Linked DNA regions of Arabidopsis thaliana. The protein of the gene in region 2 interacts with the protein of the main gene of each other region in a pairwise test. Each region holds a gene or a part of one and is shown on either strand. Other genes may lie near its edges.

What was found. The genes of interacting proteins can lie anywhere in the genome.
Region 1: the proteins of DIP2 (region 2) and DBP1 interact in a two-hybrid assay, tested with the Arabidopsis thaliana proteins (one study listed by BioGRID).

What each region holds. Positions count from the first base shown.
Region 1 is NC_003071.7:10,902,216-10,908,883, reverse strand, and holds DBP1 (DNA-binding protein phosphatase 1), read left to right. Parts: upstream 1-3,616; 5' UTR 3,617-3,905; coding exon 3,906-4,088; intron 4,089-4,304; coding exon 4,305-4,511; intron 4,512-4,622; coding exon 4,623-4,834; intron 4,835-5,153; coding exon 5,154-5,730; 3' UTR 5,731-5,889; exon of another isoform or gene 5,890-6,007; 3' UTR 6,008-6,168; downstream 6,169-6,668. Other genes in the region: BGLU14 (beta glucosidase 14), read right to left, coding at 1-524; AT2G25625 (histone deacetylase-like protein), read right to left, coding at 1,785-2,142, 2,222-2,322; AT2G25610 (ATPase, F0/V0 complex, subunit C protein), read left to right, coding at 6,243-6,511, 6,599-6,668.
Region 2 is NC_003076.8:759,810-766,853, reverse strand, and holds DIP2 (E3 ubiquitin-protein ligase), read left to right. Parts: upstream 1-3,373; 5' UTR 3,374-3,514; coding exon 3,515-3,784; 3' UTR 3,785-4,250; downstream 4,251-7,044. Other genes in the region: AT5G03204 (uncharacterized protein), read left to right, coding at 4,457-4,567; LUL1 (RING/U-box superfamily protein), read left to right, coding at 5,187-5,629, 5,747-6,212, 6,300-6,404; CPUORF47 (peptide upstream protein), read right to left, coding at 6,706-7,044.

The sequences.
Region 1 (6,668 bases), on a different chromosome or scaffold from region 2:
TCATTAACAATTTCTGCCCCACGGAATCCTCCGTAAGCATCTTCAAGGTCTTGTGGTGTGTCCCAATGGAAAATGGTTGCGAAAGGCTTAATTCCTTTAGACAAAAGCTCATTGATCAAGTTGTTGTAATAGTCAATACCAGCTTGGTTGATTCCTCCTTTAAGATTCCCACGAGGCAAAATACGCGACCACGAGATGGAGAATCTATAGGCATTGAACCCAATTTGATGCAATAAACCCACATCCTCCTTGTAAAGATGGTAAGAGTCATCTGCAATAGATCCGTTGCTACCATCTTTTATCTTTTCTGGGTATTTTTCAGAAAACGTATCCCATATACTAGGTCCTCTACCATCTTCCTGAGCAGCTCCTTCAACTTGGTACGCAGAGGTTGCAGCTCCGAAAATGAAATCTTCTGGGAAATCAGTTTTTCTTAATTTAGGTGTTGAAGAGTGTCTCTTGGCAACAACTTCATTGGAAGCCAAGATGATGAACACTAGTACGGAGAAATATTTACTTGTCATTCTAAATTTTTCTTTTGATTATTGAATCTTTGTTTGTTGTAATATAATGAATTATGTCTAGAGTTATATAGGCAAGAGATTTGTTTTTACATTGGGTATGTGAATCTATAAATAGAGAAATGTAAGATAGAGATGGTGTAACAAATCTTTTAATTTTTACTTGTCCATAATTAGTGAATAGAAGACTATTGAAATGATCTTATCTAGTTGTCTTTCTAGTAGGAAAAAATTAGAAACACACTTGTAAATATTTTCCTTTTTCTTGTAACTACTTTTTTTATCCAACAATTTTGTAAATTCCCAAAATAATTCAAATAACTCTCTCAAGACTCCATTATAAACTATTCTTTTTTTTGTTAAATCCATTATAAACTATTCACAATGATCTTAACTAGTTATCGTCTTTATGATTTATGTCTCGAGAGAGTTATTTGAAATATCTAAGAAATTTACAAAAAAAAATGTTTTCTGTAAGTTTCAAACTAGTTTTAGAAAATCGTGAGTGTGGATTTGCATAAGATGATCAAGCTGTGTCCATTTTCTTGTTAACGTAGGTCTCTTATTGCAAAACCAATTTTTTCTTCTTCTTCTCTTCATGCTACGAGTCTTTTCTCTCTCGCTAAGGCTAATCTCCCTTTATTCTCTCACCATTCTTGTAAAAGCAAAGAACATGAGCATCAAGAAATTAAATTATTGAAGGTCCGACATGGAAGTGAAATTTGTAGAGTTGTAGTTAAACTTTGAAATACGAGGCCGAAATCAAACTAATCGTTGGAGTGACATAGAGTTGGGCTTCACTTTGGATCGATAATAGGCCAACTCATTTCAGTAGGAAGTACTTGGAGTGTTTTTCTTTTGTACTACACGCATGTACTACTTTTCTTTCATTTCACATCCAATAGAGTACTACTTTAACACACAAAGCTGAAAACTCCCAAAATTTGGTAGGATACAAGATTACAAAACAAAGAAAAAAAGGACGGACCAAAACTAATCGTGCACATAAAGATCTCAATGAATTTAATGAGTTAATTATTTTTATACGGTTCGATTTAAACCAAAAATCAAAAATGGCATCCTCAAAGAAAATTTTGCATGAATTAAAGACCAGTTTGGTTCAATGTTTTGTCATCAGTAACTACACAAACAAATACTTAAAATTTAATATATCTACAATAGTTTTTGTGTGTATTATTTGTTTCTAATTGACTTTTTTTACACCTGCCTAACAATCTCCCTTACACGTAATGAACTTCCAATTTACACGGAGAAACAACCACCCCTGTTGACACGTGTCATCACCACACCGACCGGCGGTGCATCACCCTTAGCTAATCCGGCTAACTCCAAACGTCGATGAGCAGACGGACGAGGAAGATTCTCCGGTACGATGGTCTCTAGCGAGTTCTCAAGCCAAGGCGGACACGTCCTCTTGTCACTCCACCTCCGCGGCGGCACCACACCCGCAGCCATCTCTTCTACCGGCGATTTCACAACCGCAGCTTCCACTGATGCAACATCATTGATCTGAATCCCGCCGATTACGACAGTTGCCGCCACCCCCAAGACAAAAGAACACTTGTTTTTCCGTGGCTCTGTCTCATTTTCTGTTCTCCTACTAAACAATAAAAGAACAAAGATCATTGATATGAAAAATTATCAGGTAAATAATAACTTTTCATGAATAGAAGAGATACCAAGAGATCTTTGACGTTGTCTTGAGCAGTGAAGCTAATGATTGTGCAGAATTTGAATCTAGGGGAGGAAGATTTAGACAGCAGCTTATTCTCCCTGCCATTGTTATTCCTCTGTTTTCGTTTCCTTCTTTTTCTTAAGAATCCACCTAGAACAAATTTTATTTTATTCCTTTCACCTCCAACATATATATAACTACTAACCCATTCTTACTTGGGTCACTCATTTTTTCTTACTATATATGTATCCTCAAATTATTACATTTCATATGCGCATGCAATACAAACCACATCTAAATTTTTCTTCCAATATGTTCTTTCTCTATACTTAACTAAAGCCCAAAGAATGAACTTAACCTAGAAAAGATGGACTTGACCCAATAGCATTGGTCCGTTGGAGATGTTAGGTCCATACTCCATACAAAGACAAATTGAACAAAAGTCGTGAATCTGTTTGCTACGTCTGAATAACAACGTACACGTATCACGCCTTGCGAACAAATTATTTGACAATGATGGCCAATTAGCATGTGTCATCACTTGTTACCACGTCAACAAGGTTCTTGTCGGTCCGTTTAATTAATAGTAACCATCGTTTTCAGGAAAAAAATCCACATAAAAAGTTTCTAATGGCGAAACAATATTCAAATATTTCCTAACAACTACCATGAGACTGATTCTTTTTCTCTTCCGAAAAATTAATGAGACTGAGTCCTAATTTTTCTTATAGTTAATTTGGTGACCATCAAAGAATGTAAAAGTATTTAGGAAACAGCACAAATAATCTGGCAATTACGGTCTACAACATGTTTATTTACTTATTTTTAAATTATAGAAAAATTTAATATTTTAATATCTTATATTTAATGCCCTAAATAACACTAAATCACACATATAAATAGCAGAGATATAAATATAGAAAAACATTCCAAGCATTTTTCAGTACTTAACATTTATACAGAAAAACAATTAAACATTTTTCAGCACTTAATAATTAACATATGTGAGAAATTCATAAACTCTATTAAATATTCATGAAAATAATGTATTTTTAATTTTATAAGTAATATCTCATGTGTCGACTTTTTTTATATAAAAAAGATGTAAAAAAGGTCCCAAGTTACTAAAATTCAATTTTGTCAACTTAACTCAAAATCTTTTTGCTATTAGTCTAAAATTTCAGATTTCCTTTCTTGCTATTTTTCAAAATACTATGTTTACTTCTCATATAAACTGTAAATATATCCCTTTTTTAATAAGAAAAAAAATCTCTCACTTCAAAAACAAAAAGGAAAAAAAAAAGCAAAGAGAAAAAGTAAATAATACGCCGACGTTTCGTGTTTATGTTAAGCTTCCTTTTTCCTTTTTCCTTTTTCTTTTTGCCTTTTAAATAACCGTCGGACTCATATTTCTCGCCTCCGCCGGCGAACAGTTTTATTATCTCTCTCTTTCTGCGTGTTCCAATTTCTTCCACAAAACCCTAATTTTCTCTTAAACCCTGAAATTCGTGTAACCTTTCAACAATCTCTTCAATTTTGTTTTCGATTCTGAATCCATTGTTTACGAATCTCTCATCTAAAGCTACATTCTTCGTTAAATCGTTTTTAATCGACTCGCTCACTCGTGAGTTGACTCGTCAGCTGTTTCCATAATTGCTTATTGAATTTTTATACGATGATGTTTCAATATGGAAGAAACTAGAGGAATTTCTGATCCAGAGAATGGGAGTTCGAGTTACGGCGGTAAACCGCCGAATCCACTCTCCTTCTCTTCTTCCTCCGCCGCTGCTGCCGTTTACAGGCAAACCTTCGACGGCGAGCGATCGTTGGCGCCGTGTAATAAGAGGTCACTGGTTCGACACTCATCTCTCGTAAGATTCGTTTCTCTTCAACTTGATTTGTGGATCAGTTAGGTTTATTTTGTGTATTGAATGATCAATTTAAGTTGAGGTTTTGTAATTATTGCTCTGCTTTTGGATTTGATCATTATTGGTTTCCTAATGTGTATAATTAAGGTAGAAAGTTTCTGTTTTTAATGTGTCATTATGAGATGTTTGAGGTTTTCTGATTGATTTTCATTTTGGTAGGTGAAGACAATGGTGTCAGATATATCTGTTGAGAATGAGTTTACTATAGAGAAGAACAAGTCTGAGTTTGTTCCTGCTACGCGTTCTGGAGCTTGGTCTGATATTGGCTCCAGGTCAAGCATGGAAGATGCTTATCTATGCGTTGATAATTTCATGGATAGCTTTGGCCTTCTGAATTCTGAGGCTGGTCCAAGTGCCTTCTATGGGGTATGTTCTTTCTTCAGTTTTCCTGATTTTTTGTAGATTTGTAGCATAAGCAAACAACTGTGAATGTAGTGAAAATATGGGGATCTCTTATTGAATTTTGTTTGTTATTAGGTATTTGATGGACATGGTGGGAAGCATGCCGCTGAGTTTGCATGTCACCATATACCGAGGTACATTGTTGAAGATCAAGAGTTTCCTAGTGAAATCAATAAGGTGTTATCTTCAGCATTTCTTCAAACAGACACTGCCTTCTTAGAGGCGTGTTCATTGGATGGGAGCCTTGCTTCAGGAACTACTGCTTTGGCAGCTATTCTTTTTGGAAGGTTTGTTGATTCAACTCTTATTATCTTTTAGTTTTGTCTAACCTAAACTCTTACATCTTGGTTATGTTAAAGAAAAACGTGTTTGGGAATAGATGCTTATCCTCAACTGCGTAGTGTGCATAATCTTGACCTTTAACACAATCATGTACAACTAATTCGCCTGTAGATGTATTCTCTGCCCATATGTGCTGCTGCTATAATGTAGTTATTGTCTCATATGGTCTTTGAGTCACGTATATACTTGCTCATTTCATACTCTATTAGTATTCTGGTATGAAACCGTTTGGTACCGTGTTAACATATAGTTTTGTGGTAACAGGTCGTTGGTGGTAGCAAACGCTGGAGATTGCAGAGCAGTCTTATCCCGTCAGGGAAAAGCCATTGAAATGTCAAGAGACCACAAACCCATGAGCAGTAAGGAAAGGAGACGCATTGAAGCATCGGGTGGACATGTATTCGATGGCTATCTAAATGGACAACTTAATGTGGCTCGAGCGCTAGGTGACTTTCATATGGAAGGCATGAAGAAGAAGAAAGATGGTTCTGATTGTGGACCTCTAATTGCAGAGCCTGAGCTCATGACAACAAAACTAACAGAAGAGGATGAGTTCCTTATAATTGGGTGTGACGGGGTTTGGGATGTGTTCATGAGCCAGAATGCTGTAGATTTTGCCAGAAGGAGACTACAGGAGCACAATGACCCGGTCATGTGTAGTAAGGAGCTGGTTGAGGAAGCTTTGAAGAGGAAGAGTGCTGATAATGTGACGGCAGTGGTTGTGTGTCTTCAGCCACAGCCACCACCGAACTTGGTAGCGCCGAGGTTGAGAGTTCACAGAAGCTTCTCGGCGGAGGGTTTAAAAGATTTACAGAGCTACTTGGATGGCTTGGGAAACTAATTGGGGGACATGAGGATGGTGACGAATGATTGATTTCTCTGTTTTTGTTTTGTCTTTTCTTACAATTTTATAGTTTGGGGTTTGGAGGTTTTGTTCTGTTAAATTCTCGCAATTTGAGTAAGTTATAACATGAGGCGGCATACAATAATTTATTGTTTGGTAGGATATATTTTTTTGTCACTTTTGCATAATAATAATTCTGCTTCAGTCTCATTTGTTTTGTAACTAGAAAGTTATTCCAATTCCTGCGTTTACCGAATATGTTGTGTTCTTGCAGAATGACGTATGTTAGATATGCAGTAAACTCGAGGGTCGGCTTTGACCACATCGCCACTTATCGGTTTGCGGATGCTGGAAAAGTCAGTCTAGTGATGAGGCTGAGTGAGCCATCGTCAGTTACTATTTTATCGTGAAACTCTGAACAACGAGATTGTCCCGGATATTCAAATGAGGAACAAGGCCCAATAGTCCGATCAAAGTGGGCTATTCGTATCGCTTACGAGGCCTATACGATGGTAATTGAATTCACGCGCATTCATCAGCGCGTGATTTGGAGTTGCTCAATTTCAGATCGCACAGGCTCTGTTAATCATCTCCTCCTCCGAAAGACAGAGAAAGAGACAAATCAAATTCATTCATATCAAAGAGATAGAGAGAAAATGTCCGGTGTGGCTATTCATGCGAGTTCATGGGGCGCGGCTCTGGTGAGAATCTCCCCGTACACTTTCTCCGCCATCGGAATCGCCATCTCCATCGGCGTCTCTGTTCTTGGTGCTGCCTGGTATAAATCCTTTTCTTCTTCTCCCCATTGATTTGCGAAATCATCATGCTTACGAAAACTATTTTGCTCTCTCTCTTTATGGTTTAGGGGAATTTACATTACCGGAAGTAGTTTGATCGGTGCCGCCATTGAAGCTCCTCGAATCACTTCCAAGAAT
Region 2 (7,044 bases):
GAATTATAATTTATTTATTTAGTGTTCAGCTGTTTGATATGACTTTCTTTAAATTATAATAATACAAAATAATTACATATAATTTAAAATACACCTGATAATAAAAGGATTACGTGGGCCAATAATAGGTGAGATATCACTTGTCAACATAAGTTGGCCCACTGGACCTCATCTCAATTTGAAAATTACGGATATTTCAGGCGTCAGTATCGCGACACGTCACTCAGCTCTCCAATTTTTTCATTCTCTTGATGCTGAAAGACGAAAATGGACAAAAGAGACCAGATATTAACGACGCTTGGTACATCTTGCGAAATACTACTAATATTTTACCAAATGCATGATGGACAAAATGAAAATGCAATAGCCAACAAATTACAAGTAGATGATATTATTGTAGAAACAGGAAACATATTATAATTGGTAAATCTGTTGGACAATAATCTGAACATAACAAAACATGTGGGGGACTCGAATAAATTTTATAGCTAGGGTCATATATAAAAGGACATTCACTTTTTGTTTAGATATATTCTTTGTAATTTTGTATAGACGTTCATTGCCATTATTGTAAACAATAAACATAAATAACCAATGCATTATGCATTATAGATATAATTGTAGGTTAATATATAGCAATGAAAATAGGTGGATTTAATCCTTATAAAATCTTTTAAAAAATCTAGATTCATAACTAGTTGTGTATAATACATATGTCAATTCTACAAAATTCACAACTAGATAATAAGAGCATCTCCATTAGTAGTCTGTCACATAGTTTCTTATTAACTAAAAAATATAAAATAATAATAGAGTAGGAGAGAGATAGAAGAGAGATTGAGAATAGTTTCTCTGCAGAAAAACTTTCGAGTAATGATTGAGAGACTATGTGTATATGTGTGTTTATAATTGGACAGAAACTAAATCATAATAAAATATTATTATATTTTTTTTTTTTAGAAACTTTTAAAGTATCTTACCAATGGAGATGGCCTAATAACTCCTATAACGATACTTTATTTTAATTTTGCATGAATTATCATATATGCCGCGTGCATGTATAGAAGATGTGTATCCACCATGCACGTAGACATTCATTGTAGATTTGTTGTTGTACATATCCACATATAATATGTTATATTTATGTATCACTTTAGCTTACTAAAACAAAGAAGTCATAATTCATAAATAGTTTCAAGTCTTGTATGTGTTTTATTTCCTTTGTCGCACTCACACTACCTATACTTCTTTTATACTATTGCTTTCCTTACAACTAAATTATGACGTTTGTGAGATTTTATTATACTAGAAAATAATCGTCAAATAAAAGAGCGTCTTTGCCTGTTGAACCAATTACTATTTAAAATATAGAGTAGTGTGGTCAATTGATTAATTATTGGTCGATGACCTCTACATAATTGGAGCTTTGAGATACATAACAAAACACAAGTACCAAGAAAAAAAACAAATAATAATAATGCATGTAGTAAGATAATAATCGAGCTTCTTAAATCTTCTCTTGTCTTTAATAATATTCCTATATATTCTAATTATGCATAGAATCCTACGTGATTAAGAAACATCAAATTCTCATTGTTCAGCCGTATGATCGTAATCTTTCTTGTTAGTTGCATATCTTCTACTTGTTGGGATTTCAATTATTGTTTTATCACCGAACAAATAACTGTTGGAAAATTTCATATTATGTCAAATGATCAGCTCCGTATTGTATCTATGCTTATGTTATGTTCGAAAAATGGACTCCTAAAAATGACACATTACAAAAAAAAATAAAAATAAAAAATAGCTTCGAGGCCTTTGAGGGTAAAAGCTCTAACCTCTCTCATAAAAGAATTAAAAATGGATCTTTGGATATCAAGAAAATTATTTTGAAATAATTAAATTGAACCAAAATCAGAAAACAAAACACATGACATTGTTGATTTGTCGTTTACTAAACCGATTTTCATTTGCCTAATTCTATTTTTATTGTGTTAGATCAAATAATGATGTCATCTTGTGTGTTTTACAACTAATAATAATTAAATTAGCAATTAACTATGGTAGACCTTAGCTTCGACCACCCTATACAAGCATATATCAATTTCGGTTATCAAAAAAAAAAGAAAAAAGAATCCGTTTGTAAAATTTTGCTAGTGAATTATATCTCTAATCCATATTCTCGATTGATGAAACATTATTCTGACATACATTAAAAAATTAGTTTAAGAATATTTTTGCAAAACTTATGCGATGTGATAAGCTCACTTTTTTTAGGTGACATGTTCGATCATAAGGTGCCAATAATTCCCTAGAAATAGATTAATCTCTATGTAAAATATCGAATCGTCTAGTGACAAGTACATGGTATACCTACCTATTCACTTATTATTTCTATTTTTGTCGTCCTCATGCATCTTATGTTATAATATCAAATGACGGAAAATGAGGGATGAATTCTATAAGCTAAGAAAACTAAAATAAGGGGGAAATTGCAAGAAGAATGAAAGCAACCTTTCAAATATCCTTATCTTATCCAATCCTTTTCAGGCCATTGACTTATTTTCTAATTAACCTAATTATATATATAAGAAAAAGCTAAGGCATCTTATATTTATATATACATATATCAATTGATTGCTAATAATGTTTTGATTAACTCTGCATATGGCATGTTTTCCAGCGATTTAAGTTCACAAAGAAGATTTTCGTTTTTGTCATCACTAAAAATTATCTAGTTCTTTCTACTTTTTCAGCGTACAATAATCTTTTTTTCTATCAATTGGTACGTTTTTTATTTTCTCAATTTTAATTTTGTTTTCTAGGTACATTTTTAATCGAATTGCACCAAAATATCCAAACAAATCAATAAAACAGGCAGAATGAGGTATTACCGTATTAGTTAAACGAGAAGTGGCTACTTTCCTCAGCGTGATTAAAATGCTTATGGGTTCAGTTTCATAATTCTCATATACGGAACTACGCATTTGACCTCATGCTCTCTATAAATATTAAGATCTGATGTTGAGAGCCCATTAGAACTAAGTTTACGAATGAGCCCATGATAGTTTAACTTGGGCCTAATTAGTGTCTAATCTGCTTCTAACGTTACCGAGTCAAACGCGGTCTAAACTAATTTGTAGAGTAGTGTATTTGTCCAAAGCGTACCCACACAATTGCTGAGAAACTTCAAACCCTAAGTGTGTGTCTAGTATTTTGCAATATACGACGCATAAAGAAATATCCTAACATTGACAACAACAAAAAAAAATCTTAGCGGAGATATAGACGTGTGAGACAAGAGCTCACACGTGTTGCACATTCGAGACTTGTTGATAATGACGACAACAAGAGGTTCTAGAATATTCGTGTTGGTTTCATTATTATTAGCAAATAAGACCAAGTCAACAAACTAACTTAAACATTGTGGATCGTCCACTTGTCCGACTCTTACGTCAAACCCATCATTGTTCCACATATCTCCACGCGTCAATCTCTCTATAAATACGAACAAATGAACACGTATCAATTCAACTCAAAAAGTAACAATTTGAATTACTTCCGCAAATCTAAAATAATATCTAGTGAAGCGAATATGTGTTTCTTTGATAATCGGTGCGATCAGAATCTGACGGTGGTGGTGGATGTGGCGTGGTGGATGGAGGCTGTTCCTCCACAAATCATTTCTCCGGCGAAGCCATCGGTTTCTCCGATTCTTGAGACGATTTTAGAAGGCGGAGAGACCGAAGAAGACAATCAAGAACAAGAAAACGAGGACGTGTAAATTGTAATGATCATTTTGTTACTCGGTCTTGGGTTTAAGATAGACTCTTGTTGTTGTTGTTGTTTTTTCTATAACTGTATAAGATGAGATTTTGTATTGTATCTTTTGTACAATCAAATCTCAGTTCTTTGTGAAATTTTCATTCAACTTTCACATCTTGTACGCTCGGTGATCTGTTGTTATATGCTCACGAGTTGGTAATTAAAGACAAATCTTAATATACTTTCTAACCGAACCGGGACGATAACCGGTCCACGACAAAAAATCAGTATCTTCAAATATCAAACCAAACTTAAACCTGAAACCAGTCTCACCGCTATTTCTGTTTGGTGCGATCATTTTCTCAACCAAAAGAATCTAATTTACATTAATTTTTAATAAAGACATGTATGATTTATCTGCAAACTAAAGCAGTGTACGCATACTTATGTTTCAACTTTCGAGCATCACCTAAATATGAAACATAAATATCACGTGCGATAAGTATTAAGCTGCGTCCTATAAAAAAGTATACAAATATATAAAGATCACTTGATGATTAGTTAATTACACTACTACTATTCCTCTCTATCTCTATAAATATCAGCAATAACAATAATTTCCACATAGATCTTCTCAACACAGTCGAAAGCTGCCGAAGTCTAAATCGAAGAAAGAGTATATTTACAAATCATGGCTAGGATGATCGGACCATTCGAAACTGTACCGGCGATTCTTGTTTATCCGATGAGGGTTTCAGCTTCGCCTTCGCTGGGGACAATTTATGAGGAACACGATGAGTAAAATTTTAACAAGACAAGATCAAAACTCGAGTGTTTAATTATTTTTTAATCCATTTTAATGAAATATTCATTTTGAAATATATCTTGATAGTGCTTTCTATTTCTTGGTTGATTTCCACTTTAAACTCTTTTTTATCGACGTTATTATGATCTCCTATATAATCAGACATAAGAGAAGATGTTTCTTAATGACGATCAGTGCAAGATGTTTCTTAATGACGAGCAGTGCTTCTTGTAATCGCCGGTATTAATGGATGTGTTTCTTTGTTTTCCGATCAACCTCCAAAACCAATCTCGTGTCTCCGGTTTTGTCATTTCGTTTCTTCTTATTTTGTAACCGTGATATTGTTGTGAGGCCTTGGGCCTATTGCCTGCCTAGTGCTACTGATAATGATTTCTTTGTTTTATGTGATTAAAAGTAATAATCAATTTCCCATGGTAATTAATCAAGTTTAATACTAATTTATAATATATACAAATAAACGTTTTGGTGTTTCTTCGTCGACGTCGCTATCTCCAATCTCATTACTCCCCTTTCTCAATGATCATAAAACCTACTTCGATTCTACTCCTTATCAACTGAATCACCGAAAAACCTCACCTTTTTTCTTTTTCCGATCATGGGGAATCTGATCAGTTTGATCTTCTGCTGCGGGAGAAGGCAGAGGAGCAATATTCCTCCGGCGATGGAAACGGCTCCTCTTGAACTCCCACCGAACAGATTTGTATTCGCCGCCGTGCCACCATATCTGAACCCTAACCCTAACTACGTTGACCAGTATCCAGGTAACTGCCTTCCTCCGCCAGTAACTGAGCCGCCGATGCTACCGTACAATTTCAACCATTTGCATCACTATCCTCCCAACAGTTACCAACTACCTCATCCTTTGTTTCACGGCGGTAGATACCCTATACTGCCGCCTCCTACGTACGTCCACCAGAAAGCCGTCACGATTCGTAACGATGTTAATCTGAAGAAGAAGACTTTAACGCTCATACCCGACCCGGAGAATCCGAATCGACTTCTTGTCTCCTTCACATTTGATGCATCCATGCCCGGAAGGTTTTACTTTCAAACTATGAAATGATCAAATTTAGTTAAAAGTTTGAATCTTGTTTGAATCAATCAATGGAGTAATATAAATGACTTAGCTTTTGTTGTTTTGGTTGGCGAGAACAGGATCACAGTTGTTTTCTTTGCTACAGAAGATGCAGAATGTAATCTTAGAGCTACAAAGGAAGATACTTTGCCTCCAATCACTTTTGATTTCGGAGAAGGACTTGGTCAGAAGTTCATACAATCATCTGGAACGGGTATAGACTTGACGGCGTTTAAAGATTCCGAGCTATTCAAGGAGGTGGATACAGATGTCTTCCCGTTGGCGGTTAAGGCGGAGGCAACTCCAGCGGAAGAAGGAAAGTCTGGTTCCACCAATGTGCAGATTACTCAAGTGGTGTATACCAAGGAGAAAGGAGAGATTAAAATAGAAGTGGTGAAGCAGATACTATGGGTGAATAAGAGGAGGTATGAGCTGCTTGAGATTTATGGGATTGAGAACACGGTTGATGGTTCCGATGAGGGAAAGGAATGTGTTGTATGCTTGTCTGAACCACGCGATACAACTGTTCTTCCTTGCAGACACATGGTATAGTGTTCATCATACTTAAAATTAGCTCATATAAAAAAAAAATTGAACTTCTTTTGAAATGGTTTGTGTATTTCTGTTTGGCAGTGTATGTGTAGCGGGTGCGCAAAGGCGTTAAGGTTTCAGACAAATCTGTGCCCAGTTTGCAGACAACCTGTTGAGATGCTTTTGGAGATTAACAAGAACGGATGAAATGGAGATGGAGAATGAACAAATTTAGTTAAGCAATCGACTTGTGTAATATATGCCATGCTTAATTAAGACGTAAAACGTTATGGTTCAATATATTATAAGTGGAAACTGAGTTCTTAAATAGCAATGATAAACAGATAGGCAGCTTCTTATTTAGTTATAGGTGCTTGGCCAGGAGCTGTGGTGGCCGAGGACCAACTATGGCAAACACAGAAGGTGATGGCATTACAACTGAGACAAAGACAGACACGAATCGACGTAGATAAGACTAAGGCGAAGCGAGATTGAGTTTTACATTGGTTTAGTCTTCCCACCATTGATGAACAAACACACCTCTGGCTCTCAGAGTTTGAAGCATGTTGATGCAGTCTGACTTGTGGTTGGAACAGCGGAGGAAAAGCTCATCCACGTAGCATATGACTCCTGTTTCCAGTAAAACAGTTAGGAACTTCATTTCCACTTGGTTTGTGTTCATCTTAAGGACTACAAAGTCTGCGTATTTCGCAGTTTCCTCAAACCAAGCAAGGAAATCGAATCTCTCATCTTCTGGAAATGGTTCTAGCTGTTCAAGCGGAGTTATCTTTTTCCCTGTCGAGTTGTTCTCAGCCAAATCCGGATGGTAAACAAAGGTGACGCCGGG